Mytilus edulis: one gene and its partners. The protein of the gene in region 1 purifies or fractionates together with the protein of each later gene. This does not show direct contact. Links are inferred from orthologs where the notes say so. Each region holds a gene or a part of one and is shown on either strand. Other genes may lie near its edges. The genes, in order: nuclear cap-binding protein subunit 1-like, importin subunit alpha-1-like, exportin-1-like and THO complex subunit 4-like.

Region 1 (7,322 bases):
CTCACCTGGCCTAAAAGGCCTCATCACTTGGCGTCTGTTGTCGTTAACTTTTACAAAAATCTTCTCCTCTGAAACTACAGGGCCAAATTTAACCAAACTTGGCCACAATCTTCATTGGGGTATCTAGTTTAAAAAATGTGTCCGGTGACCCGGTCAACCAACCGTGATGGCTGCCGTGGCTAAAAATAGAACATAGGGGTAAAATGTAGATTTTGACTTATAACCCTAAAACTGAAGCATTTAGAGCAAATTTGACAGGAGGTTGAATTGTGAATCAAGTCAAGATCTATCTGCCCTGAGACGAATCAGACAACCGGTTGTTGGGTGATGCCCCTGGATTGTCAATTTTTGAGGAAATTTGCCATGTTTGGTTATCAAAGATATAGATAAACTGTAAAAAGCAATAATGTTCAGCAAAGCCAGATCTACAAATTAGTCATGTGACCAAAATGGTCAGTTGACCCTTAAGGAGTTATTGCCCTTTATAGTCATTTTTTACCAATTTTTAGTAAATTTTTGTTATCTTTTACAAAAATCTTCTCCTCTGATACTACTGTGCCAAATTTAACCATACTTGGCAACAATAAGCATTGTGGTATCTAGTTTAATAAATGTGTGCGGTGACCCAGACAACCAACCAAGATGGCCGCCATGGCTAAAAATAGAACATAGGGGTAAAATGTAGATTTTGGCTTATAACTATGAAACCAAAGCATTTAGAGCAAATCTGACATGTTGTTTTGTTGTTTATCAAGTCAACATCTATCTGCCCTGAAATTTTCAGATGAATTAGACAACCGATTGTTGCGTTGCTGCCCTTCAATTGGTAATTTTTAAGGAAATTTAGCCGTTTTTGGTTAGTATTTTGAATTTTATTATAGATAGAGATAAACTGTAAACAGCAATAATGTTCAGCAAAGTAAGATCTCCAAAGAAGTCAACATGGCCAAAATGGTCAGTTGACCCCTTAAGGAGTTATTAGCAATAACTTTATTTTATTAAACGGTGAATGGATCTCTATGATTTTAAAAGAAGGTTCAATACCACAAAGGAAGGTTGGGATTACTGTATAAGTATTACGATTTCTCTGAAATTGTACCACAATGTTTAATACAACAAGTAGAAGGTTGGGATTCACATAAGGGGTTAGGGGGCTAACAGTTAAGGAAATAATGGCCTAAAAGGGGCCAAAATAACATTTTTTTTCCGGACAATAACTTCTGTGAAAGTGTATTGATCTCTCTGTAATTGTACCACAAGGTTCCATTCACAAAGGGTAGGCTGGGATTGAGTTGGGTGGTAATTGCTCTAATCATGTAGGAATTAGAAGCCAAAAACAAGCATTTTTTTCTTCTAGTTTCCAAACAATTGCTTGTGTTTAAGTGTATGGGATCTCTCTGAAATTGTACTATAAGGTTCCATACCACAAAGGAAAGAATTGGATTGAGTCCTAGAGTATTGCTCCAAGGGTATTCCAAAAGTTGGAGGGGGGATTTTTTTTCATTTTTTTTAAGGAATTCATATTTTTTTTAAACAATTTCAAATTTTGGAAAAGTTTCAATAAGAAATCTTCGATTGCACAATAGATTTGTAAGATCTTTGGCCACATTTATTTTGTTTCAGAAACCTATATTATGTCAAAAAAATTGATCACAATCAAAATTCAGACAGTATCGAGCTTGAATATTTTATCCAATTTGCCACAACTGTTCAGAGTTCGACCTCTGCTGTCGTATCAGGCTGCGCTCACCGAAGCATTTTTTTAAAAAGAAAGTTCAATTCCACAAAGGGTAGGTTGGAGATGACGGTCCAACTTTTTAGGAATTGAGGGTCCAAAACAAGCATTTCTCTTGTTTCAGGCTAATAACTTGTGTAAAGTATTTTGATTGCTCTGAAATTGTACCACAATGTTTAGGGACTTTTTTTTTTATCTGGGAGGGGGGCTGGTCAAAATACAGGGGGGATCAAGTTTTTTTCTGTATGTGGAAAAGGGGGGTTCAATTTTTTTATAAATTCAAAGTGGGGGGTCATTTTTTTAAACATAGAAATCAGCATTTCACATACTTCAAGAGATAAAATTTAAAGATGAACATTACAACAATCAAATCAAAACATATTTTTAACATCATTCATAAAGACTTTAGTGATGTAGGAAGCTGCATAGGTGCTTCATAATCCGAATAATCAAGTCGTTATACATGTATTTCACTCACTTTGATCACTAAATTAACAAGCGTTACTGCCAAGTTTATTTTTAATCAGCTTAATAGTTGGAAAGAAATTTAGTATAAACGAAACGAAATCTACAGCGATTTATGCAATTTTTTTCCCAAAATACAAACCATACAGCATCATGAGTGGAGAAATAAATTCTCCAATAAATTATTAAATATTCATCTACTTTGCATTTGAATATTGATAAGCAAGATGTTTCTGAAATGATGAACACCAGTAAAAAGTAAAATCACAAAAATACTTTGTGTATCTTTTTGTTTTCATTATAAGATCTCTTGGGGTCAATTTTACCTCTAACTTCCTGAAAATGTGTACTTTTAGGCTAATAAATCAAAATTTTAATGGTACTTTCACACATTTATAAATGAAATGTGACAATAAATGAGTAAATAAATTGTTCAAGCTGAAAGCATGAACTATCCATATTTATATAAAAGTTTAGCGACTCAATTGAGATTTCAATAAGACTTTGCGTAAAACTTTAGTTTAAGAAGCGTTCAAGAGAGGGACATATAATGGATTCCTCTCAGTAAAAATGCGTTGTTACTGTTTCAAAAAGTTATTTTTTACAGTTACGTAGGGTCAATAGATTAGCACAAAATACAATGATATAGGAAATTAGAAAAAAGTCAGAAAAACTACTCAGAGCACTGGCTTCTACCTACTTCAGGTACTTATATTTATGGAATTAAGAGGCGTCATGGAAAAACAATATTCCAAGATAATTTTCTCTTAATTATGATTTTGAACTAAATCCACTGAGAACATTTCATTTTCAATATTTTCGTGAAGTGTTTGAAAGGAGAAAATTTTGTTTGATAGTGGGGGGATCGATTTTTTTTAATGATTTTACTGAGGGGATCAAATAAAAATAGTGAAACATTATGGGGGGATCAAAAAAATTCGTATGTTTAATTTCAAATGACAAGACCCCCTCCCAGGTAAAAAATGATAAATAATACCACAAGAAGAAGGTTTGGATTTATTTTGGGGTTATTAGGAATTTTAAAGGGCCAAATACAAGCATATTTTTTTTTGGGGGGGGGGGGGGCTGAGGGGGGTAGGAGGGGTCCTGATCCCGAAATCCCGGCTTAAAACCATGAAAACCCGAGGTCCCGAATTTAAAAAAAAATCCCGGATCCCGAAAGGGTCGATCCCGAAAATCCCAAGATCAAAAACACCCGAAAAATGCCCCCTTGTTATTTAGTTTCCAGACTAATTTTTTTGTCAGTGTTTGGATCTCTCTGACATTGTACCACAAGGTTTCATATCTTAAAAGGAAGATTTTAATTGATTTCGGGGTTGTTTACCCAAACACGCAGGAAAAAGGGTGAAAAACAAGCAAATTTCTAGTCCAGAGAGTAACTTAATTGTGCTTTAGTGTATGGATCTCTCTAAGATTGTAATACAAGGTTCCGTATTACAAAGGAAAAGCTGAAATGAATTTTGGGAGTAATTGCTCCATGGGGGGATTCAAAACGTTGTTTTTATTGAGGGGTTCCGATATTTCAAGTTTTTCAAATTATTTTTTTTCGGAAAGTTTCAAGAAGATATCTTCAATTGCACAATATTGCACAACAAATTTGTAAGATCCTTGACCACGTTTATCTTGTGTCAGACACCTATATATAGATACCGGTATTATGTCAAAAAGGTATCACAAATTGTCAATTTAAGTTTAGACAGTATCAAGCTTGAATAGTGTGTCCAAATTTGCCCCATTGTTCATTGTTCGACCTCTGTGGTCGTATCAGGCTGCGCTCGTCGAAGCATTTGATCTTATATTGTATGCAATAGGTCTACTATATTTTGTTTATGAAATGTTTGTAGGATGTAGATTTATTAATGAATGGGCCACTTTTATTTATACATGTTTTATTCAGTTTGATTTTTTTATAGTCACGCGCATATATTATTATCTTCCTTAAATCAAACTTTTTATTCGCTAAGATATACCGAAATATTCATTTCGGGTTTGAAATTATTGTAAGTTTGAGGTGTATCAAATTGGTCCGATTTATGATGGTTTTATGGTTCACGTAAACTTTTAGTACGTTAGTATCCTCTATTTTTCGGTTCTAAGCTGCAAGGCGGAAGTAAGCGCAAGATCAACTTCCGGGGAAACAAAAAGTAGCGTGAAAATCTTGCGTTTCAAAAATCGACGTTTAAAATGTCAAGTCGTAGACGACACGACTCTTATAGTGACGAAGAAGATGGTGAGTAATATATCTTTCCATTAGTAGTTGTCTTTACGTGCACGAAATAAAACTTACAACAAATACGACCAAATAATGTGTCAGTGAGAGCAGAGCGGTTTTTATTTATATTAAATTATCCAGCCCTGCTTCGCATAAAGAACGGGTTATGGTGCAAATTGAAATTTATTTATCAATTAGAATAAGAATTAGGAAAATTGTTATCTGCACTTTCGGGATTTAATATTGTGAAATCAGATTTATACAGTGCACCTTTTGGTTGAAATGAATGTTTTTAAATACAAACCACTCTGCTCTCAAATTATTTGTTCGTACTTGTTACACCCCCTCCCCCTTTTGCAGCAGAGAGGGCATTAAGTTTTACCCTTGTTCGTCTGTACGTCAGTCCGTCTGTATGTCTGTCCCTCCCAAAGTTGGTTTCTGTTCTCTACCTTTAATTTGCTTCAACCAAATGTTATGAAACTTATACAAAATGCTTATTAACACAAAACAAAGATTAAGTTTGGTGGTGTCACATTTACCTTTGTTGAGTTATGCCCATTTACAAATGAAAAAAATACTGATTTTTTTTGTTTCCGTTCTCTAACTGTAGTTTGCCTCAACCAAATGTTATTAAACATAAACATATATAATGATAAGAATTCCAAAATACAGATCAAGTTTTGCGGTGTCACTTCATCCGTTCTAGATTCATGCTCCTTTACAAATGGAAAAATAGGAATTTGATTTTAACCAACTACAATTACGGACACAGGAAATAACTCCAATTTGCAAAATTTATTTTACCAATTACATCAACTATAACCAATGGCAATGCTTAATATACAATGCAATGTTCATTAAAAAAAATAAAAACAATCTTTACCTTCGGTGCTTACAAGCACTTTGAATAATGTTGTTCAGTTTTGTCCCTTTATAACCTTACATGATATTTTGTTTCCATTCTCTTTCTTAAGTTTGTCTAAACTCAATTGAATGAAATGTTTATATATTTATAATGCTTATTACCACTTATCTCAGTTTAGGTTCAAATTTTGGAAGCATTACTTTTACAGTTTTTGAGTTATGTCCCTTTATAATGTTATATGCTAGCTGGGGCATCATTCTCCATTTATTTTAAATGTTTTTTTGTTAAAATGTAGTGGCTCAAAAATAAGACTACTACACTACAGTGTTCAAGCGAGGATTTCAAAAGGGCAGGGATCCAATCATGAAAAGGGTACTTAAGCATGCTGATTGATAATTCAAAAAGGGCATGCCAAACATTGTATTTTTCCCCCAAATTGAAAGGCTATGAAGAAATACAGAAAATTGCTAATGAAAAGCAATGGCAATCATTATTTGTGGGACAAGATTAATTTGATTGATAATTTACTTTCTGGAAATTAGCTTTCTGAAGTCTGTATCTCAACTTTTATCATCTTTGGTTAAAGCTACTGTACTTTTCAATCTGCAGGTGTACATAGTACTTGCCCATGTTGACAAGTTATGATAAGAGTTCAGAAATTTGTTTTTGTGTAAAAAATAAAGTTATGTGATTTTATGTTTAGGTCCTTCCTCAGTAAGAAAGAGAAGACGAGTATCAGAAAATGTTGACATTGAAGACAGACTTGAATCACTTATAACTAGAGTTGGAGAAAAGGTAAACAAGAATAAAACAAAAAATAAATCAAAAAGCACAATTTAAATCTATTTAAATATTTAAATCATGGTAGATTAATAGAAAGTAATAACTGAGAAATAATTCTTTTCATGCATGTCCTTGATTCATTTTATTTGTAAATATTTACATTGAGTGTTATTCTAATTTGGTTTATTTTCATGAAACTATAGCAGAGGAATAGAATCATGGCGATGTTTATACTAAGTTATAAAATGGATAAGTTAACCATGTAACTACCATAAACATAGAACAGCATAATCATGATAATAGGCCACATCAACATTTGACTCATTCAAAATTCAGTTATACAACTAATAGACAAAAAAACCAATAACACATGGTCCAGGTAGTCAGACTTGGTTCAAATGTAAAATGTGGTGGTGTAATTTGCTTGCAAACTTTACCCAAATGTCTTACGGAAACACACAAAAAAAAACTTCCATGCTCTAGCTAAAATGTTTACTAAACTTAAAACTTTATCATGTTTATAATATTATCTTTTGAATAATATTCAATACTTTTGTCTTGCAGAGTACATCCTCTTTAGAAAGTAACCTTGAAGGCTTAGCTAGTGTCCTGGAGGCAGACTTGCAGAATTACAAGACAAAAATCCTTAAAATTTTAGTAGAATGGTAAGTGATGAAGTTAAGTTTGATCATGTTTGATGCAACTCTGTATAATTGTGTATTTATAAAATTAGATAGATTCCTTGTAAAAAATACTTAAAAATGTAAGTTATTGAAAAGGATCTTGACAAACACAAGCAGAATTCTTTATTAGTAATAAACGATGTGTTTTCACTTACAGGATTCTGTTTGGATAGGAATACAGTGGCGGATCCGGGGGTGCGCACCCCCCCTTTATTTTTGCCGATCAATGCATTTGTATCGGGACATATGTTTTGCACCCCCCCCTTTGCCCTGGGTTACCTGGGTTAGCACCCCCCCTTTCGAAAATTCCTGCATCCGCCCCTGGAATATACCAGTGGGACATTATTATAGAACTAAATTAATGAATGTAAAATATTCATATCTTATAAACATGATAAAGCACCTGATTTCTTAAAGCTCTTCTATAAAAGCTTGCAAAAGCTAACCTTTGATCAACTTGGTTGTTTCATTATGTTTGCTTGGATGTTAGCAAACAATAGGTAGGCGTAGTTTCAATCTGCTTAATATATACATTTTACTTGGATTTGATTGGACAAT
Region 2 (7,285 bases), on another chromosome or scaffold:
CATTAAACATGTTAAAATAACCTGTAGCTGATGACTTTATTGGTCTGAAATATGTGCCACCAAAACTTCCAGCTTGAAGAACTTCTTTGGGCGTCATATTTGGTCGTAGTTCTGGAACATCTTCAAACACTAGCTCCCCCTTTTTGTTACGAGTTGGTAACTTTGCAGTGAATTCAAAGCTCTGAAAAACATTCATTGTTGAAGATTTATTTACTATATTTACATTTAGGTGTGTGAGAGTAGACATCAGCAAAAAAAAATGGGGGTAAAGAAATTTATCAGCTAATAAAAAAAGTATTACAAACAACATGAACAAACTGAAATGTCAATTTGCCAATCTCTGCATTACAAGCCAAAACAAAGTTTATAATACGTTAAACATTTAAATTCATGGTTCGCCTGTACCCAGGAAAATTTGTATCTAGCGAGTTATAATAAATGCACAGTAGTTCTTTTTTTAAATTTTGATTTTATATATCTTTACCCAACGATGTAAGGCCTATAATGACTGTCATCACATTCTCACTCTACTTCAATGAGAGAATAAATATCAAAAAAGTTTCAGATGGGAAAAATATTGCACATAAAAATAGATAAGAAGAGACATGTACTGATAATTACCTTTTCTACATTTGTAGCTTCATCAATATTTTTGGGATAGTTCTTCTTTTTAGATGAAGATTCTTGTTTGTTTAATGGCTTTTCTTTACTGCTTTTGGGAGTTGTTTTCTTTGATTTACTCTTTGAAGCTGAATCAGGTTCAACTTCTTCTCCAAGTTTCCTTTTTGGCATCTTTGTTAAGCAGTTTATAAACTAAAATGGATTACAGAAATAAACAAATACTAGACATGCATTCTTCTCCATGTTTGAGGCGGACTTGTACTATATACATGTATGTTCTCTTATTTTCAATTGTGGAGTATTTATTCCTGAAATATTTTTTCCTTTTAGTCATGTTTAGTGCTTCTCTACTTTCTCACTATATTACTATAATCCAGTTAGATTATCAAGATTATTGAAATTTAAATGCAGACAAACTGAAAATAACTACTTTGTCTCATAAATAATAATGCTAATTGTTTGTTTTAAATTACCTGAGCAAAGGAGTAGGTCGATAAGGCCTTTAAATGGCCCCCTTTTTAAGTCTAAATATCAAATTGGGATTTATTTACCAATATTACAATGATTAATAGATAATACAGTGACTGTATTTTAGTTTCTTGTGTACAATTTGGAGTATGGTGTTCATTATCACTGAATTAGTATATATATGTATATATTTGTTTAGAGGCCAGCGGAAGGACACCTCTGGGTGCAGGAATTTCTCGCTGCATTGAAGACCTGTTGGTGACCTTCTGCTGTTGTCTGTTCTATGGTCGGGTTGTTGTCTCTTTGACACATTCCCCATTTCCATTCTCAATTTTACTAGATAGAAAATACTTCTTTTAGTCCAGTCAAGGGTCTAACTTAGATAAGTTATTAGAGAGAATAACATACATGTTGTTACATGTATTGTGGGCTAAATTATCAAAAACCTGTGATAACATATGTATGTTACATGTTTCAAAGGGAAAATACAATGTATACAACCTTAATATTTTGTTAATTTTTTCTTAAGTTCTATTGATATTATAATTTTCTTCATGTATACTAATCTTTGCAAAGATATAACAGCTCATAGTTTACCAATCATGCATAGTACACCTATGTTATTACTGAAAATATATTCCTGCAATAACCAAGGGGTGTTATTACAGCTTCTCTATATCTCTTTAAAGGCTTTGCTCTGACATGCATAACAATGTTTTTCAATTCATTGTAAGAAATGATGATCAGAGCTTGTAATGAGGCACTGTTTAAGATTCCAAGTGTCTCATTTACTCTCATATAGTAAGTTACATGCTTGTAATAACTAAGCTTAGTTTACAGATTAAGGAAAAACGAGTAGACAACTCATGAAAGTTTCTGTAATAACATACAATGACATACATGTACAAAATGTACACATGTAGGCATATTATTTTTCTCTGATAACTTATTTAATTAGACCCTTGACTGTAGTCACAGATTTACATTACTGCGTATTATTAATGACGTCAAAAATAGTCAAATGATAGTACTCATTTTGATTTTCCACACAAAAACAATGAAAATGGGTAAATTGCTGTTGAATATTTGGACAGGAAACATATCATGCATATAGCCCATACATTTGTAAAAAAAGATCTTTGACAATAATGTTTGTAATGACTATTACATGTCTAACTTGAATATTTATGTTGTCGACAGCTGCCCTCTATGTTTCCTGATGTTAAATTTGGCTGAATTCCTGCCGATTTTGGCAACTGTACTAAGAAATTTGGATTTCATTCTTAGCCAGTACTATTTAAATCAGAACCTTTCTCAGACATACAATGTATATATATCTTTAAAATATGTTAAAATACATGGGGAATGTGCTCATGGGGCACACATGATCCCTCTTGTATATCATATTAAGTTATAAAGGGACATAACTGATAGACTGTAAAAGTGACACTCCCCAAATGTGTGCTTGATCTGAGTTTTGTGGTAACAAGTATGATGTGTAAACTTCATAAAATTTGGTTAAGGCAAACTTAAGTTAGAGAATGGAAACGAAAAATTCAGCATTTTTTTATAATTTTGTAAAGGAACATAACTCTAGAACAATAAGAGTAAAAACCCTGAATATTCAAACTTGATCTGTATTTTGTGGTTATAAGCAATTGTGTTAAAGTTTCATCACATTTAGTTTAGGCTTATTAATGCTAGAGAATGGAATCGAAAAAATCAGCATTTTTTACATTTGTTAAGGGGCATAACTCTAGGAAGGTTTACATCACCAAAATGCAAACTTGATCTGTAATATGAGGTAACAAGTATCGTATCTATAAGTTTAATATGGGGACGATGTCACCTATTACATTAAATGTATTACACATGTTACAGTAAAAAAATCAAAAAATAAAAATCAGGAAAATTTCCCGAATTTTTCATTTTACTAATGAACTCAAAATCGTTAATTTTTTTTCAGTTTTTTAAATCCCCGCATCTGCACAGAAATCTACTCCCTTTTCCCGTCTTGTTTGCCTGAGACTTTGAATAAAATATATATTAATCAGTCTAGTAAAATATATATAGAAAGGAATTCAATACTACATTGTAATTCACTTTTAAAAATTGTTTGTTATGAAAAAAGGTTACCCTAGCGTTTCATTGTTTACATTGAATATGACGTCATAACTTAAACAACTTCACAACTAAAATCCCTAATAACAAAACCAAAATCGGAAACGTCACTGTACTTCCATTTCTTTTTTTTTTAACATGTTTGAATTAAAAAAATAATTCATACAGACTTCATCCCCTTTACAGGTAATGCCTGCCTCATGTTAGCATTTAATTAAGGCAAATTATAAAAGTTGTAGAACAGAAATAAATTATTTTTAATTTTCACTTCAAAATTTTATTCTGAGTACAGACAAACCTGTGCATCTGTAAAAGTTTTAAGGCATAGCATGCCCTAGATAAATAAATTTCAAATATGTATTATGGTTTAGAAAAATAAAAACTTAACTGGATTTTGCAGTGCACTTTTTTTCATTCCTCGAGAAGGTGCCAAAATAAACTAAGTTGGGAAAGAGGTTTGAGAACTTCCCAACAGGTAATAATTGAAGTGAGCTGTATTGATTGACATGGACAGTAGATACCTAACAATAATTGGTCATTTAAACTGTGTACCTGAGTGGACCATATCAAGGAAAACTCAACTGTTTGTTAATTTTATCATCTTCTGCAGGGACGAAACAAAGTGCACTGCAAATTCCATTTAAATTATGGATTTTCTAAATCATACAATGCATTTGAATTATATTTATCTAGGGCATGCTATGCCTTAAAACTGTTCCAGGTCACAGGTCTGTCTGTACTCGGAGTAAATTTGGGGTGAAAATGCAGCCAAGAACCTTAAGTGACGCCACTAAAATTGAATCTTTATCCGTGTTTGTGGTAGTAAACCATGTGTATTATTTTCATAACATTTGGTTAAGGCAAACCAATTTTTAGATGTAAGTGCAAAAGGGCATACAGCGGACAAGGATTTAAAGCCTGGCAGCACCTAGATACATAGAAGTTGTATTCATTTTCTATTTTAAAATGAAATAAACTTTTGTGGATTTTGCTAACATGGCTAAAAAATTTCATTTCTTTCCACAGGTACATGTAGTGTAAAAATAAACAAAGTCATGTGAAATCTTTGAGATAGTAACCTCAGGTAATGATTGTATTGTATCATATTAATTGAAATGGACAATAGAAATCTACTCACAACAAAGGTGATTTAAATAGTGTAAATGAGTGGACTGTATCAAAGAAAACTCAAGTGTTTGTTTACTTCACCATCTTCGGTGGCAAGAAAATGTTCATCAAAATCTATAAAGTGTTTGAACTTTTTGTCCTGCGACTTTCTGTCCTACATTATGTAGGACAGAAAGTCAATTTCTATATAACTACACCCCCCCCCCCCTTTCCCCCCACTACGGCAACATAAAAAAAAAGAAAACATGGCCATTCCTACATGCATTATTTGTGTTCGTACAAGTGTGTATAGTACCACTCCCCCTCCCCTTGACAGAACAAATGCCTGTCTTTTCATTGAACAAAACAAATTATAGGTATATTGATCCAATATCCACCCGTTTATAGTATGGATCACATTTCCGACCTTACATTGATTACGTGCTACGTGTACAATGTTTCGAGTTCTTTCGGAATTATATTCCAGGTAACTCTCTTCAGAGGTCGTCCGTTTTATTTTTATTTTCTAAATGTTTGTTTATTTATTATTTTGTACATTTTATTTATTATTGTACCTTTTATTTATTTTTGTTCGTTTTATCAGCGTATGGATAACTGGTTTTGGTTATTAGATTTAGTTTAAGATACGTTTCAATATGCATTTTTCATTGTCAACGCACCTTCCTTTGGTTTTAGTGTAACTGTCTAATTAATTTCTATTGGGAGACATTGATTTATTTCAAGTGTTTCTTAACGATTTCCCCAATGTTCCTGTTTCTTTTGAATGCTATTGTAGGTTTTTTATCAAAGAGATTTTTGAACTGTGGGTTGTCTTGAATTAAATGCCAATGTTTTCTTATAATGGTTTGTAAATTTTCCGCATTAGCGTGGTATTGTGTTATGAAAGATATATTATAGTTATCTGTGTTTTTGTTTATGCTTGTTTCTTGGTTTGTTAATTTGTTTAATCTTTCTGTATGGGAAATATTTCTTAATATTTTATTTACAAAAGCGATTTTGTAACCTCTTTGTATTAATTTTTCTGTAAATAAGTTTATTCTTTCATTAAAATTGTCAGGATCAGAGGTATTTCTAAGAATTCGTATTCCTTCACCTTTAATAAAGGATTTAAAACAACTTTTAGCGTGGTTAGAATTTTGGTGTATATATTGGAATTTTTCAGTTGGTTTTGTGAAACATTTAATATCTAAGATATTTTCTTTTTGAAATCTCTGTCCTTTATACGTTTCTAAGTCTAGAAATTTCAAACTTTGTCTGTCAATTTCATAAGTAAATTGCAGTAGGTTGTGGTTTGTGTTTGCTATTTCGAAAAGAAGTTTAACTTCTTCCGTAGTACCTTGAAATAAAATATATCCATCATCTTTCATACGTTTATGAAATAATATTTTGTTTTTGTGTGGAAAGATGTTTAGAATTTTATTTATATGTTGGTATATAGCTATATCTGAGATTTGAGGACTTGCTATATGGCCTTGGCTAGCTCCTATAATTTGCCTATAACATTTTTTGTTAAAGGTAAATTCGTTATTAAGGAGAATTAAGTTTGTTATTTGTAGTAAATAGTCAAAACTGGGTTTTATTATGTTATATTCTAGGTTTTCATATATCCCTGTAACACTGTTTAGAGCGGCAATAATTTCGCTAAATCTTAGATTTGTGTAAAGGGATGTGATATCATAAGTCACCAGTAAAGTATCAGTTTCTATCTTTGATTTTTCGAGTAGACGAAAGGTCGGAAATGTGATCCATACTATAAATGGGTGGATATTGGATCAATATACCTATAATTTATGCAAACTTAATTCTCCTTAATAACGAATTTACCTTTAACAAAAAATGTTATAGGCAAATTATAGGAGCTAGCCAAGGCCATGTAGCAAGTCCTCAAATCTCAGATATAGCTATATACCAACATATAAATAAAATTCTAAACATCTTTCCACACAAAAACAAAATATTATTTCATAAACGTATGAAAGATGATGGATATATTTTATTTCAAGGTACTACGGAAGAAGTTAAACTTCTTTTCGAAATAGCAAACACAAACCACAACCTACTGCAATTTACTTATGAAATTGACAGACAAAGTTTGAAATTTCTAGACTTAGAAACGTATAAAGGACAGAGATTTCAAAAAGAAAATATCTTAGATATTAAATGTTTCACAAAACCAACTGAAAAATTCCAATATATACACCAAAATTCTAACCACGCTAAAAGTTGTTTTAAATCCTTTATTAAAGGTGAAGGAACACGAATTCTTAGAAATACCTCTGATCCTGACAATTTTAATGAAAGAATAAACTTATTTACAGAAAAATTAATACAAAGAGGTTACAAAATCGCTTTTGTAAATAAAATATTAAGAAATATTTCCCATACAGAAAGATTAAACAAATTAACAAACCAAGAAACAAGCATAAACAAAAACACAGATAACTATAATATATCTTTCATAACACAATACCACGCTAATGCGGAAAATTTACAAACCATTATAAGAAAACATTGGCATTTAATTCAAGACAACCCACAGTTCAAAAATCTCTTTGATAAAAAACCTACAATAGCATTCAAAAGAAACAGGAACATTGGGGAAATCGTTAAGAAACACTTGAAATAAATCAATGTCTCCCAATAGAAATTAATTAGACAGTTACACTAAAACCAAAGGAAGGTGCGTTGACAATGAAAAATGCATATTGAAACATATCTTAAACTAAATCTAATAACCAAAACCAGTTATCCATACGCTGATAAAACGAACAATAATAAATAAAAGGTACAATAATAAATAAAATGTACAAAATAATAAACAAACAAACATTTAGAAAATAAAAAGGACGACCTCTGAAGAGAGTTACCTGGAATATAATTCCGAAAGAACTCGAAACATTGTACACGTAGCACGTAATCAATGTAAGGTCGGAAATGTGATCCATAC
Region 3 (7,697 bases), on another chromosome or scaffold:
GGTCAACTATATATTTGGTGTATGGAATGATTGTAAGGTTTATATGTCTGTGTGGCAATCATCCGCTGACCATGACCTCATTGGTCAATCTTAAATTTTCCTGAATAAGTTTGTTTCTTTATACTATATTCAATAGGTCAACCAATCAAAAGCATGTACTGATGGCAAGGTGTACATGTCAGTCTGACAGGGTGTATGGAATGATTGTAAGGTTTATATGTCTGTGTGGCAATCATCCACTAACCATGAACTCATTGGTCAATCTTAAATTTTCCTGAATAAGTTTGTTTCTTTATACTATATTCAATAGGTCAACCAATCAAAAGCATGTACTGATTGCAAGGTGTACATGTAAGTCTGACAGGGTTCATGTGACCCTGATCTCATTTTCATGATTCATTGCTCAATCAATTAAGTTTTCCTGGTTAAGTTTGTTTCGAAGATGTGTAATAGGTCAACTCTATTTAAAGCGTATTTGGTATATGGAATGATTGTATTTCCAGTTTGATTTATACTACAAGCTGGATTTATACAGACTTTCAAGGAAGACCATTAAAGAAAATATAATTCGTTCAAACATCAGGCCAACAATGTAAAGAGCTGTAAATTTTCTTTCGCAACTTGTTTTTCCTCGCCGGAATTCCAACTCATGCTACGAAGATATCGTGGCACCAAATCGCCTTGCACTATGCCTGACGCACTGGACCACAGTGCACTCGACCACCTAGGCTCTAAAATAATAAAGTTTTCGGTGGCCAGATGTTTCCTTTCCTCGTCTGTTTTTATCTGGCGTCATAACACAGTACATGATAATCATATATAAGGCATGAAGATGGAATTTTTGCAGATCAGCTGAATGATCTATCCTGAAGAATCTTACAAACTAATGCAGGATGCAGTCACAAAAATAATTATATTATAAGTACGTCTAAACTAGTGACAACTCTGCGGAAGATTTTATACAACTGATCACCAGCAGTGATGGTGATACAAGGCTGAAAATACATTCTGTATAGATAAATCGTCTAAACATCAGTCCAACAATGATAAATCTGTAATATGCTTTCGCTAAATTTTTGTTCTTGCCTCGCCAGGATTCAAACTTATACTACTGAGATATCTTGGCAACAAATCGCCTTGCACTGTGCCCGACGCTCTAGACCACTCGACCAACTATGCTCTACCATGAATAATAAAGCTTTCGGTGGCCGGGCGTTACCATTCCTCGTCAGTTTTTATCTAGCATCGTAACACAGTACATGATAAATAAGGCATGAAGATGGAATCTTTACAGATCAGCTGAATTATCGTAAAGGATCTTACAAAATAATGCAGGATGCAGTCATAGAAATAAGTATATTACAAGTACGTCTGAACCAGTGGCAACTCTACAACAGATTTATCCATCGGATCACCAGCTGTGATGGTGATACAAGGCTGAAAATACATTTTGCATATATAATTCGTCGAAACACCAACCCAGCAATGTTAGATCTTTTAATTTGCTTTCGCAAATTTGTTTTTCTTCCCTCGCCGGGATTCGAACTCATTCTATCGTGGCACCAAATCGCCGTGCACTGTGCCCGACGCGCTAGAGCACTCGACCACCTGGAGCAAGGATGAAGAACTTATACAACTTTATATGATGTCTTTTCTGTTATACATATAGTGTCATATTGCAACCGTTTGCTTTAATTACTATTTTTTAATACTAGTAATATGATTTATTTTCACGTGTGTTATTGTTCTCATATATCGGAATGTTACAGTCACTATAAATGGTTTATTTGTGTTTCCACGTTTCCACTCGGCTTCTTCTTTTCGAAATATTAAAGAAAATCTAAATTAAAAGTATGATTTCTTCAATTCCACTGAAGCACCAACTTAGCGCATGTGGAATTATGTTGATCAAAGATGAAAACAATCACGAGTCTGATAAACATAAAACTTGCAGCAGGAAGAATTCCATCTATGAAAATTCATAAACAACTTTTAAAACAAAAGTCATTGAAGTTCGGCAGCAGCGTAGATACAATTGACGATAGAAACAATTGAGTGCGAGAGAGATTAAAAGCGGGGTCATTTCACCCTGACCCCGTATTTTACTGTCAGTTAGATAATTTTATCATGACAAATTGTATTCCTCTTTTCAAGAAAGACTATTAAAGAAAAGTGATGCACTGGGACTGATCTGTTTAACTTCCGGTATATGATGGGATCAAAGTAAAATGACAGCAATCCAAAAGTAACCCGTACTATACCTTAAGAAATACATCAGATTTAACAAAAAGTGCAAAGTGTAATGACATTCATGACATCAATCCAAAAGTAACCCGAACTATACCTTAAGAAATACATCAAATTCAACAAAAAGTGCAAAGTATAATGACAGCAATCTAAAGGTAACCCGAACTATACCTGAAGTAATGCATTAGATTCAACAAAAGGTGCAAGTTCAAGGTAATAGTAAAATGTCTTTCAAATTATCTTTATATCGGAGAATTTTCAAAAGAAGACATGATGAGAAACAACAACTTGAAACATTTATTCATTTAGACACATGGTAAACTGTGGACGCTTTCCCCTTTTACTAGATTTATAAAAAAAAAACTGTGATACTGCAATTTATAATCTCTACCCAATTCGAGTTTCAGAGCTAAGCCTCGTAATTAAGGATAGATTTAAAAAATTTAATCACAGAAACAGACATGAAAAAATCTGGCCAATATTATACAGAAACAAAAGTGTTCTAACGTCCTGAGTTAAGGAATGCTATGTCACGGTTCGAAACGACAGTCAATAATCATTACAAAATGTTATTATTAAACCTTATAGTGATCTTGGGTAAATTGCATTCAACTCGTCCGTTTGTATGTCTCAGGGGCGGGGTTCCCAACCAGGGACAAAGGGTCCCGGGTTCCAACTATATGTGCCTATTCAAATGCATTGATCGTCAAAAAAAAGGGGGGTTCCAACCCCCGGAACCCTCCCCCTGGATCCGCCAATGTGTCTGTCCGTTCGTCTATTATATACAATTCTAAAGAAAATGAGACAGAACACAGGAACTGTTGAGAAACAGAAAACTTCACAACACAAATAAGTGCTTCATCATCAGAGCTTCCCAGTTGGGAAAAGGGGTGTCGCCTCAGATCAGAGTGCTGCTCTAAACGTGTTGGGACATTTTCTGCGACCCACAGACCTGCCATCAGAATAGAAGGGCATCAAATTAAACTTGTGTTATCTTAATATCGGAAAGCAAGAACACATTAAATCATTGAAGTGAAAATTGGTAAGAATATTTACTAACAAGAACTATCTTTAAAAAAAGATATCCGACGTATTTAAATTTGAGTATATGTTTAAAACTATCATTTTGATAACCCTCAGAAGCACAAAGATACCATTTAAATAACGTTTTCTCTGTTTGTGTTTAGTATTCTCAGTCATCGTATCTTTCTGTTTACATTCACCATGTTCACCAAAACCCCGCGGAAATCTCACATGCGTAGGTGCGTTCTAAAAGTCATGCCGGTACGTTCGTACAACAAAGTTTACATTAAAAATTATATAATTGTCCCGAATAAACAGCTGTCACGGATGGAAAGAGCTATTTGAGAAACAATTATTTTAATAAAAATATAAATCTTTGTAAGATCTAGTTCAAATATTTACAGTTTTTCACTTGCTTTCCATCACGATATAATTAACGAGACGTTTTTTCAAAAACAACCAAATCACCCACCATGACAGCATTTTGTCCAATCACAAAAAGGATTTTCGAGCATGCGTATTCTGTTGCCACAGTTAAGCGTCCTTAAGTTCAAAGGACACACACCGAAACTATACCGACTACGTCGGAAAAAAGCAAGACAAATATTTAGAAAAAGAGTACATTTCAGAATGACAGTCGTCTGTTAATTCTGATTCAAAAGTAGTTGCTCGGATAGAAAAAAAAACGCTACTGTTATACTGTACATTCTACTTTTTGACACTGTTTTAAAACAATTATATCTTTAATACCGTGATGAAGTCTATGATATTATCAAGTTAAAAGTCAGTAATAATCTCATTTATTTTTTTATATTTCAACAAATTTGTAGTACTTGATTGTCCATTATAAGTCTTACTAGAATTTACAAATCTGTCTCAAATATGATCGAAACTTGGCTTAGATAAAAGAACTGAGACAGCAATCGTCAGTCTAGCTTTTTACAAAAGCTATTACTTGCATTTTGATTGAGTGACCGATTTTTGAAATCGAAAGTAAAAGTAGGTCAAATATTGCGTTTGGGAAACTATATTTGATTGGATAAATGATAAAAATTTTCCATTTGAAAATATCACCGTATTTTGCCCAAAAGTGGGAACAAGAAATTTCTTTTATAGTTATCAACTGTCTAAATGTTTTAAATATATATCTATCGACTTTCAAAAATGTGTTATTTCTTAATTAAAAGTAAAATGTATTTTATCCCTGCGAGAGTACAAACCAATCAAAAAGTTGCTAACAAAATATGTGTTTACGTTAATTAATGAGTTAATGAAGTTTTTACTTTGCAACTAAAAATTTATTTAGTCATAATTATTTCTTATATACTATTGAATAATTGCCAGTTTACTATTATTTCGTTATTTTTATCGAAATATTTGTCTAAACTTAAATTACGGATTTTACCGAGAACCAATCTGAATGGCGGTTCTTTGCCAGTTTCAACCGGTTAGTCAATTTTTGATGCTTTCTCACAAGAAGTTGGGTTTGGCCAGAAGAAGAATTAGAAGAGGTAAAATTGGTTTTTAGGGGAAGTTTTTGTATTTCGTTGTTTCATTGTCATGTTCTGAACATTGTCATAGTTTCGTTAAACACGTTTGAAATTTCTCTCATGGAGGCAGCCATATTTGAAGATACAAACAAAAACAAACGGAAGCCTGCTTAGTCATGTGATTCGGGACGTAAAATTCAAACTGTTCAGCGGCAGTGTGGTGGAAAATTCCACTATCATTATGCTCATAAAATTAAGTTAAATGATAATTTTCGTGATTAAAAGTTAATTTCTGAAAATAAAGAAATGATATTATTCAAATTGTTTTCTTATTAGCATAGTTTTTCTTCATCCAAAAAGTTTTCTATTTATGCCTATGGACATGGGTCATTTTCAAAAAATGTCGAATTTTCAGTACACCCATGCTAATTTTTTTTATTTCTAATGGAAATTTCGGTTGAAATGGCTCTAATGAAAGCTTGACGGGTTTGTGATTCAGATCATTAATAATAAACACACCTTACATCTATTTTGATAAGATTAAACTGCATTTAAGTCCGATTTTGGGGGTATTTGTGTGCGTACAGTGTCGGAAAACCACATTTTAAATGATTTATTTCTGATTTTCTGATCGCCTTGATAATTGCAAAAGGAACTTTTAAAGAACGTTAATTATCACTCTAACGAAAAAATAGTAGCTTCTTTATCATTGTATGTAACATATTATCCACAAACTAAATTCAATCAGCATACAGGAGGTTCATGTCTATCCTGTTACCGCTACTTAAATCAGTCAATAAATTATTCTCCCTATGAATATTGAATCAGTCGGTGTTGATTTCAAAAGTGCAAAGTAATCTTTACATTTAAATAGCCTCGTTTCGTGAACGACAGTGTAGAGAAAAGATATTTCAAGACATTTAGTGAAAAAAAAAGAGAACTTTTTTTCATGTCTATGCTGTTACCAACAATTTTGATTAACTACACCAAAAGTATGCTTTTAAAAAGTGCAATAATGTGTTGGTAACCAAATTCACAATAGAAAACCATAATCACTTCACTAAAGGGAGTAGTCATTTCACAACAGCAATCAAAAACGAAGAAATTTGTCTATCCTGTTACTGTGGTTGCTATGGTTACAGTAACAGGATAGACAAAACGTCGTTATTTTTTTATCTTAACATATACATGATATAGGTGCAAAACAAAAGAAATATTTCGTTGTTTGAACTCATCTTAAGTTTATAAAGACGTCTTTATCTTCCCAATTAAGCATTTGCAGGTGCAATATTTATATGGTTAACAGGATAGACCTTTATATAGTGATATATCAGAAACGTACGTTCCTGTTACCAATGAAATAAAGAGAAAAGTAAACTTACTTATGAGGAATTTACCTGATGTTGGGTTTATTTAAAAGAGTGAAAAAATGCTGAACAATATAAATTGCTATCTTAGACTTGCATTACTGGTGGTAATTTTTACAACCTTTGAAAACCAATTTTTAGAGGTATTTTTCAGTACAACCTGGAAAATTGGCAAATAATCTATTATTTTACAGCAGTGGCTGATCCAGGGGGGGGGGTTCCGGGGGTGCACACCCCCCCTTTAGTTTTGCCGATCAATGCATTTGTATCGGGACATATGTTTTGCACCCCCCCTTTGCCCTGGGTGCCCTGGGTTAGCACCCCCCCCCCCCCCCCCCCTTTCGAAAATTCCTGCATCCCCCCCTGTTACAGAATGAATATATATATATAGAAGTTTATTCTCTTGAAAACCATCTAATTGGCTACATAAAACAAGCTTAACATTTTATCTAAACCTTTTCTTAATAACCTAAAATTTCTTTTGAAAATTGTAACAGGATAGACAAAATATTGTACCACCGATCACAAATGTTTCAAGATATTCTTGTTTGACATTAAGATTGCATCTTTTAATATGTTGTTCTTAAAGTACTGTTTGTTTTGATTTGCTTATGTAGTGGGTTGTTTTTAAAAATAACTTCAATGTACAATGTATTAATAAATTTTTCAATTTCAAAATTCATCATTTTTTGAAAATGACCCACGTAAGTACAGGGTTTTTCATAGCTTTTTCTTTCAATCCCTCTTGGGATAATCCATTCATCATCAACAGTCACGTCTCAGTCATTACAGCTGAACAGACGTGCTGGGCCAGCTCTCCTTTACCTGCTATCTTCGATGAGGGTTTACTTTTAGATGATCAACGACTTACTACTTTATTAAATTAGAGAAATTAGATATAATCCTAATAAACTTAATCATCCTTAGAATGAATTGTTCCTATTGTTTTCTGCTTCACGCTCACAGGCTGATTCATTAAAAGAATGATGACTGCCACAGGCTGAATTTCTGCTGAGTTTTTATAAAAACATAAATTTTCTGCTTATGTGAACTACAGGAGTGGCTACGCAGACAAGAACTTGGCCATATTTAAACATCACATAATACATGCAAGGCCAAAGTGGAATTACTCTCTGGATGTCATGTTTTGTTAGCGCTCTCACATGTACCATTCATGCCAACTTTTTATGAAACTTATATCTTGGGTTCAAATTAGCAATTTATGCCCCTAAAAATGTTTATTCTGTAGAAAATATAAATGTTATCACTCTAATGTGTTTGTTCAATTCTTGCCAGAAATTTCAAAGTTTAAATCAGAAATGTATTTGTAAATACATTTCGGATCAAATGTTTTTACTGAGTGATGCCCCTTGGAAATCTAAGTTTGTTTGCTCTGAAGCCTAAGTTTTACAGAATAATGAAAGTGCTTTTTGTTGTTTTTGCCCTGGTACCTAGGATAGATAAAATATGTACAACAGTGATATAGGAACAAGTGTTCTTTTATTCCACTGGAAAAATTAATCCATATAAACTGAACACTGTTTACACTTTGAATACAGAGACTGAGAGT
Region 4 (7,639 bases), on another chromosome or scaffold:
AACGATTTTAACGTGTGAAATTTAGACCTATCAAAATGAGCAAGTCTTCAGTACTGTTACCATTAAGAAACTACTTCCATTAATCCTACAAAAACAGACACCAACAATAACAACTTAGGTTTAAATGTGTTTTATGAATTTATTTCCAACAAGGGACGTAACACCACTACTGACCGTGTATGAAATAAGCCCCGCCTCCCTTCTTACCTAATATGGAATATAAAGGGACGTAACACTACTACTAACTGTGTATGAAAAAAGCCCCGCCTCCCTATTAACCTAATATGAAATATACACGGTCTCCACGCGGACGCTTTTAATCAATCATCTTCCTTGAAATGAATAGGAGGTAAGATAAAATTTTATACATGATTCAGACAATACAATACAGTTCAATATAATATAATAATAAGTATGATGTATGATAAGTGGTGATGTGAATGGTTGTATTCACATCATATGGTGGTAATTTACACAACTAGAAACCTCTGATTTTTAGTTTTAAGTCCCCAACGGAACACAATGACAACATAAGTTACAAAATGCATTCACATTCGTAACATATAAATAAGGTGCTAGAGTAATCAACTAAATAAATTGCATTTTTCGTATCACACTTAAAGGAAGGTGGGGTTCATTCAATTCTGTATTCTTTAAAATTCGTTATGGCCCTTTTCTCTATTCTTTATATTATATGGTTTGTCCCTTATTCTCTCGGTGTTCTTTAAATTTTAGCACTCCAATATTCACTATTCTTTATATTTTAGCACTCTATTATTCTCTTTTCTGTTGTTTTTTTTGGGCGATTTTCTCTTTAATCTTTTTATTTGTTTGGCCTTTATTCTGCACTTTTTACCCATTATTCTCAATTCACACCTTATTATAGGTGTGTGAAATGAAATATATCGCTGTTTGCAATGAATAGTTAACAGGCTGACCACAACTATAAGAGAAACTGTGGCTTTTTCAACATCACATTCGTATCAACCCGTGACAACAAATGAATATATATAATCCCAAGAACTATGATTGTTGGATTATATTGTCACACTCGGCGAAAAGGGGACGGGATTGTAGTAACACCATTTAGAATTAACATATATCCACTATCATATGTGAAACGGATATATTCCATGACGGTTAACCAACTCATGATGTCATCCGTAAAACGTAAGAATTATTTCAACCAGTTATCTGTTTATCTACATCTATACATCTACATCTTGCAGCTCTGTCGTCACTCGAAAAAGGCTCTTCGACCCATCACACAAGTATCAAGTTAAGTTTGACGTCTTCCTACATGACGAAAAAATTGTATATGATATTTAATATACAATAGTTCCAAATTGTGCTCAAAATTATGTACAGGTGCTGGTTATAAATATCATCTATCTTTTGTTGGTGTTGGTTAGCCATTACAGAGAAGCTTGGTGAGTTTGGACTATAATTCCCCACTGCATGCTCTCAATCTCTAGTAAAGTTAGACTTGTAGTTTATTCCAGTCTCTGGTGGCCCAGGGAAGAAAGCTGTACATGTAAATATCGATCTATTTGATCTGATTTGTACGTATCTTTTAATATCTCGAAGTTCTTCTTGGTTTTAAAATGGGATGGCATAGGTACAATAACCTTTTCACGGATGGCTTTATGAAAGAGCGTTGTACGTGCTATAATTCTTCTTCTGGTTTCTAGTGGTTTCGGGTTCAATTCTAAAAGTGTTGTAACTGTTCCAGGCTCTCTTGAGTAGCTGCAAGCGTATTAAAGGTGATGTCGGACAAGAGCAAGATAGGCTTGTTTCTTGACTTCCTCTGGACATGACCCAACCTTTCTTCGTATGAAGCCTAGTACTCTGTTTCCGTTATTGACATCTTTTCCCCATGCATGACATTGTGTTGGTAAGTTTAGCTCCAAGGTATTGGTTTGATGCGCCTGATCATGCCAAGAACATGTCAATTGATGTTGAGGTTGAAATGGATGTTTTTCTCTTTTTGGTAATTGTAATGACATAACATTTTGAGAGATCATTTGGTCCACTTTACCATTTTGTCAAGATCTTCTTGTAATTTTTTACAGTCGTCCTTTGATGATATCGCTAGGTACGTTAATTTATCGTCTTCGAATAGGCGAATCTTTAATGTTATTTCGTTTTGCTATGTCGTTTATGTATAGGAGAAATCATCAGTGGTCCTTAAACTGTTTCCTGTGGTACGCCGGGTGTTACTTTAGTAGTACTTGAACTTTCCCCTTCCAGTGTGACTTGTTGTTCTCTTTGTGTCAACCATGCTTCTATAACCAGGTATGTTTCCCCTGGCCTTGATACCATTTGATGCAAGGTTGCCAGTTATGTCCTCTGCTGTAATTACTGGTTGCGACTCAAGCAATCTTTTGCTTCTGAAGCCACGTTGGAATTGCACAAGTATATTATGCTTGTCAAGATGGTTCATCATGATGTGGTTGAATATGACATGTTCCATTACTTTACATGGAACTGACGTCAATGATACTCTTATTCCCTTTATTGAAAAGTGCAGTGACATTTGCAACTATAGGCAGTCCTGTGGTACACTATGATCTTTTAATGTTTTGGTGAAGATAAGCTGTAAATATTTTGATATTGACTCTGCACACTCTTTCAATATTCTGTATGATATGTTGTCTGGACCAGTTGCCATGCTTTGGTATACTCCCTTAAGTAGTTTGGTTAAGACCTCGAGATCTGTACTGATGTGTAGATTTGGTATTTCTGGTGTTTCATTTTCAGTTATGATTTCAGTCTTCCATTATAAATACTGATTGAAATTGTACATGCAGTTTTTCTATCTTTCCTTTGCCATGTTTGCTGCTGTCTATTGTTCCTCCCGTAACTTTGAGTGTTGATACTCCCATTGTTTCTCTCTTACACTTGGAACTTTAATAGCTTCCTTGTGAAATTGATGATTTATGCATTACATAGCACTTTAGCAGTACCTCTTTCGGATAGTTTTTCTATTGCTACAAATTTCAAAAATAATAAGGACCTACTGTATACTTTTTTTCAAAAAATATTTAATTTGAAGAAGAAAAAACATTGTCTAGTTAAATAATATTAATTAAGTGTAAATTCAAACTTTTGTAAAACTAATATTTTTTACATCTAACTTTAATTGATACTTCTACCATTTAATAAGCATACATATATATTACAATAATATTGTCAGTTTGATTTATTTTTTTGCAGCTATTGCAGTTATGTTCGTATACAAGTATAGTCATTGAAAAACCTAACAAAGATATTTAGAGATTAAAGTTTTAGAAATGAGTTGATTGACTGATAATTGACACCTGTCACTAAAAAAACACCAGAGGCGTATATATGTCTTTGAAAACACTAATTAGTTTGTATAACACTCAATTCCTTTTTTTTTTTATGACAAGTGAATTTGTAATTTTAAAGTAATTGAATTACATTTAGATTAGATTAAATTAACAATATGATAAAAAAAAAAACAAACTTATACGGTAATGGTAGATTAGAATCCTGAAAAAAACACAGAGATAAAAACTTCGAAATATAAAAAGTCTGACCGGCAGAGGAACAACCTTAACTTGCATTTCTATACTCTAGTCTATATATCAGTTATACGCCATATATACAATACAATAAAGAGCTTTGATAAAAGAACAAAACTATTGTTTTGTCCTAATAATTAACATAAACAATTAATTTTATGCATTGATTTGTATAGATTGCAATACTATATGCACACACATAGTACATTACAATATTTTTTGGTGTATTTCCCCCGGCTTTAACATCTTAAAAAAGGTATATCATTATAAGGATTATATATATTGTATATTTGTGTCTGTTATTTGGTTTGTAATCTGTTATTTATTGGATTTTCTTTCTCTGTATTCTCTTTGGTAAACGGACAGAAAGTCACAGGACAAAAAGTCACAGGACATAAAGTCACAAATTAGGTAGGACAAATAGTCACAGGACAAAAAGTCACAAATAATTTGCTGACAATTGCTTGGATATATAAGAGAATATTTTGAAATATGCATACTAAAGTTGAGGAAATGTGTCATTATACTTGAAAAATGAAGATTTATTTAATTTTAATCATGCAAAAGATATATTTCTTGGCACCATGAAGCCATTTAAGTGCAAAGCAACGTTGACAATATGTTTTTTTTAACAATTATTTGATCATCTTAAATGAAAAATTTTGTTTACAAAGTTGGTTTATATACAATAGTTCAAGAAAAATACAAAAATATTTTTGTAGAAATAAGGGTTTTTTATTCAAAGAAAATATGAATTGTAACTTTTTGTCCTGTGACTTTTTGTCCGTGACTTTTTGTCTGTGACTTTTTGTCCTGTGACTTTCTGTCCTACATTCTAATCTTTATGCCCCTCGGGGTCCAACATTGGCTCATAAAATTTATATAATCTAATTCTTTTTTTTTTTTTTTTATCTTTTACAGTACATATACGCCATATTTACAAGAAAAAGACTAGGCATTCTTCGAGTTTTTTGTTGGGCGTAAGGCATAGTACATTTTAACATAAGATTCATGTGCCCCTGTGATCGAGGCAAGATCCAACCCGCACTTATTTTTTTTCAAAAGCAAGGGGAGACAATCTTATTATAAAATTCCCTATCCCATCGTGCACCACTCGTATGCCGCCATTTTCACTAAACAGAGAACACGAGAACACCAACAAAGCCGGTAGATATTGATTGAACAACGTATTTCTACAAAGGTTATGACAATGGGAGACAAAATGGACATGAGTTTAGATGATATAATCAAGTCAACCAAAAAAGGAGGTCGTGGTAGAGGAGGCGGTCAAAGGAGGGGACGCGGTTCCGGCGGCGGTGGTGCCGGTGGTGCAACAAGAGGTAGACGCGGGGGAGGAGGCTTTGGGGGCCGACAGAATCGAGGCGGCGGTGGAGGAGGAGTGTTTCGTGGCGGCATTCAGAAAAGAAGAACCAGTGGTGGTGGAGGAAGACAAAGCTTTTCCCGGGTAAACTTCAAAAATGATGTCGACATCAGACCAGTCTTTGTTTTTGTTGTGTACATAATTTCATTTCATTATTTTGTCTATTTCTTAATATAATTTGTGGATGCTAGGCCTTAAAACTTTTGCAACTGCACAGGTTATCATTACTTAAGAGTAGTTTTTGTCCAATTCACTAATTTTTTATGCCCCACCTACGATAGTAGAGGGGCATTATGTTTTCTGGTCTGTGCGTCCGTCCGTTCGTTCGTCCGTCTGTCCCGCTTCAGGTTAAAGTTTTTGGTCGAGGTAGTTTTTGATGAAGTTGAAGTCCAATCGACTTCAAACTTGGTACACATGTTCCCTATGATATGATCTTTCTAATTTTAATGCCAAATTAGAGATTTTACCCCACTTTCACGGTCCACTGAACATAGAAAATGATAGTGCGAGTGGGGCATTCGTGTACTGAGGACACATTCTTGTTTATGATTATTATCAACATGCTCATTAATTTGAGGAATATAAATACACCTTATCGTTAAGCCTGGCTGACATGAAAATCTGTCCCATTTGAACTATGGCTTCATACAAAAATGAAAATCACTTAAATTCCATTGTGGCGTCAGATATTTGTATTGTTTCAAAATTTTACAGGAACCTGTGTGATGTCCAGTTTTGAGTAATGGCGGATAAATAGCCATAATAAGGTGTATTATAAACCATCTTATCGCTATTTTGTGCATTTTTGTTTGATCTTTTTATGTGATAATTTTTCATATCATGCTACTCGCCTGAGATGGAAAATTATCGCTAGAAATAAAGGAGGCATGTGGCGTTGCTAATGAAATTGAAAACGTTGTCATAGGTAAAATAGCGATAAACAGATCATCATTGGTCATCTCAACTCGATTGCTTTTTTTGCTTTCGTCTTTTCGGCTCAAGCGAGAAAATCAATCTTGTTGAGATAATCAACAATAATCTATAAATATATGTAGTATTATTTTTTGTTAGATCACAGACAATTGTGTTCTGTGAATGGGGGATTTACTATCTATACTTGTACAAAGTTCATGAAACATGTTATATTGTTGTAAAGATAAATAAATTACCAGCAGATTGATGTGTGTACATGTTTAATCATGGGAAATGCAAGGGAATGTTAGAAAATATAGGTTGAATTAAACACTTTTTGTTAGCTACATGTACCTTGTGATTTTTCATACTACATATGATATATCTGTTATTTATTTCATGATCAGTCTTCAGGCTCAACCATATATGTAGGCTCACCAGCCTAGGCTTGTAAAAATGCTGTCTTGCCTGTCAAAAATATCTCTACACGCCAATAGAATATAGCTAAAAATTTTATAAGACTCAGCTTCAGGCCTGTAGATTTAAAATATTGACGTGAAGACTGCTTGTTCTGAAAAAGTATGCACAAATACACAATGTTCTAAAATTATTTCATGGTTTTCTACATTTACAATTGTATATATTGTATATATAATTTACATGATAAATTGTGAATTGATGAATTAAAGACTAAGTTGCCAGACACAATAACTATGATTTTGACATCAAGTTCTGGACTCTATATATTATTTGTTTATCATGTTGATAGGACTGTTGAATATTTGTCTAATAACCAGCATATTTGCCTGAAATTGTATAAAAAAAACCCACTTTTTTGCTGACTTTTTGACAGCCTTTTGTATCTGTTTATACATGCTGATGCCAGTTAAGTTAAACAAGTAATCTAGAATGTAACACCATGAAACGTGATTGATGCATAAAAATTAATAGGATTTGTTTTTCCATTTGTTTAGTCTAAAGACACACCAGATGATGTATGGAAGCATGATATGTTTGACGGAGATGTTGGTACAATGAAGAGGGGTAGAGGAGGAGGAGCTGCTGTTGGGGGTGGTGGCAGCACAAGTAAACTACATATATCCAATTTAGACTTTGGGGTCAATGATTCTGATATACAGGTACTTCAATTTAATAAGATTTTCATGTTGTTCCTAGTTCTTTTGCTTTTATGTAGGAGTTTGAAATATAGGAAAAGAAACATTTAATACATACATGTACAAAATGCAGATAGTCTTGTTATCTTGTATTCTTAATTTTCAAAACATGCAGATATTTGAATAAAATCTTACCAGTGAGGAATTACATTTGTATTTTATATTTCAATGTATTAATACAAGTTTTAAGATTACACGAATATGTATTTTAAACAAAATCATTATAAATATTACTAAATTAAAGGTGGCATAGTTTTGTTCATAAAATCTTAAGACATGAAGAAAAACAAAATGATAGACATATTACCTTGAATCATATAATAGATGTTTTAACAAAAGAACCAGTTAGAAAATATGATCATAACTGCTCAATTTGAGTACATTTAAGCATGCTTGCATTTTAATTTTTTTCTTCAGGAACTGTTTGCAGAATTTGGTCCATTGAAGAAGGCAGCTATACACTATGACAGATCTGGAAGATCTTTAGGCACAGCAGAAGTGATATATGAGAGAAATTCAGATGCTGCAAAAGCCATGAAACAATATAATAATGTTCCTTTAGATGGTAATAGTCAATGAATATATACATGTTGTTACATAACATCTTTTTATCTGGTATCAAA

The links.
Region 2: the proteins of nuclear cap-binding protein subunit 1-like (region 1) and importin subunit alpha-1-like purify together in Homo sapiens (co-immunoprecipitation; 5 studies listed by BioGRID and IntAct, with this or other methods). This does not show direct contact. The link is inferred for Mytilus edulis from reciprocal best matches to the Homo sapiens genes NCBP1 and KPNA2.
Region 3: the proteins of nuclear cap-binding protein subunit 1-like (region 1) and exportin-1-like purify together in Homo sapiens (affinity purification with western blotting; 3 studies listed by BioGRID and IntAct, with this or other methods). This does not show direct contact. The link is inferred for Mytilus edulis from reciprocal best matches to the Homo sapiens genes NCBP1 and XPO1.
Region 4: the proteins of nuclear cap-binding protein subunit 1-like (region 1) and THO complex subunit 4-like purify together in Homo sapiens (affinity purification with western blotting; 6 studies listed by BioGRID and IntAct, with this or other methods). This does not show direct contact. The link is inferred for Mytilus edulis from reciprocal best matches to the Homo sapiens genes NCBP1 and ALYREF.

What each region holds. Positions count from the first base shown.
Region 1 is NC_092347.1:28,672,075-28,679,396, reverse strand, and holds the start of nuclear cap-binding protein subunit 1-like, read left to right. Parts: upstream 1-4,298; 5' UTR 4,299-4,405; coding exon 4,406-4,451; intron 4,452-6,001; coding exon 6,002-6,093; intron 6,094-6,645; coding exon 6,646-6,746; intron 6,747-7,322. UniProt on the Homo sapiens protein: Component of the cap-binding complex (CBC), which binds cotranscriptionally to the 5'-cap of pre-mRNAs and is involved in various processes such as pre-mRNA splicing, translation regulation, nonsense-mediated mRNA decay, RNA-mediated gene silencing (RNAi) by microRNAs (miRNAs) and mRNA export.
Region 2 is NC_092353.1:13,692,792-13,700,076, reverse strand, and holds the start of importin subunit alpha-1-like, read left to right. Parts: upstream 1-4,269; 5' UTR 4,270-4,281; intron 4,282-7,285. Other genes in the region: uncharacterized protein, read right to left, coding at 22-181, 622-813.
Region 3 is NC_092346.1:57,078,416-57,086,112, reverse strand, and holds the start of exportin-1-like, read left to right. Parts: upstream 1-4,673; 5' UTR 4,674-4,781; intron 4,782-7,697. UniProt on the Homo sapiens protein: Mediates the nuclear export of cellular proteins (cargos) bearing a leucine-rich nuclear export signal (NES) and of RNAs.
Region 4 is NC_092352.1:25,278,576-25,286,214, reverse strand, and holds the start of THO complex subunit 4-like, read left to right. Parts: upstream 1-4,639; 5' UTR 4,640-4,752; coding exon 4,753-5,013; intron 5,014-6,815; coding exon 6,816-6,980; intron 6,981-7,433; coding exon 7,434-7,581; intron 7,582-7,639. UniProt on the Homo sapiens protein: Functions as an mRNA export adapter; component of the transcription/export (TREX) complex which is thought to couple mRNA transcription, processing and nuclear export, and specifically associates with spliced mRNA and not with unspliced pre-mRNA.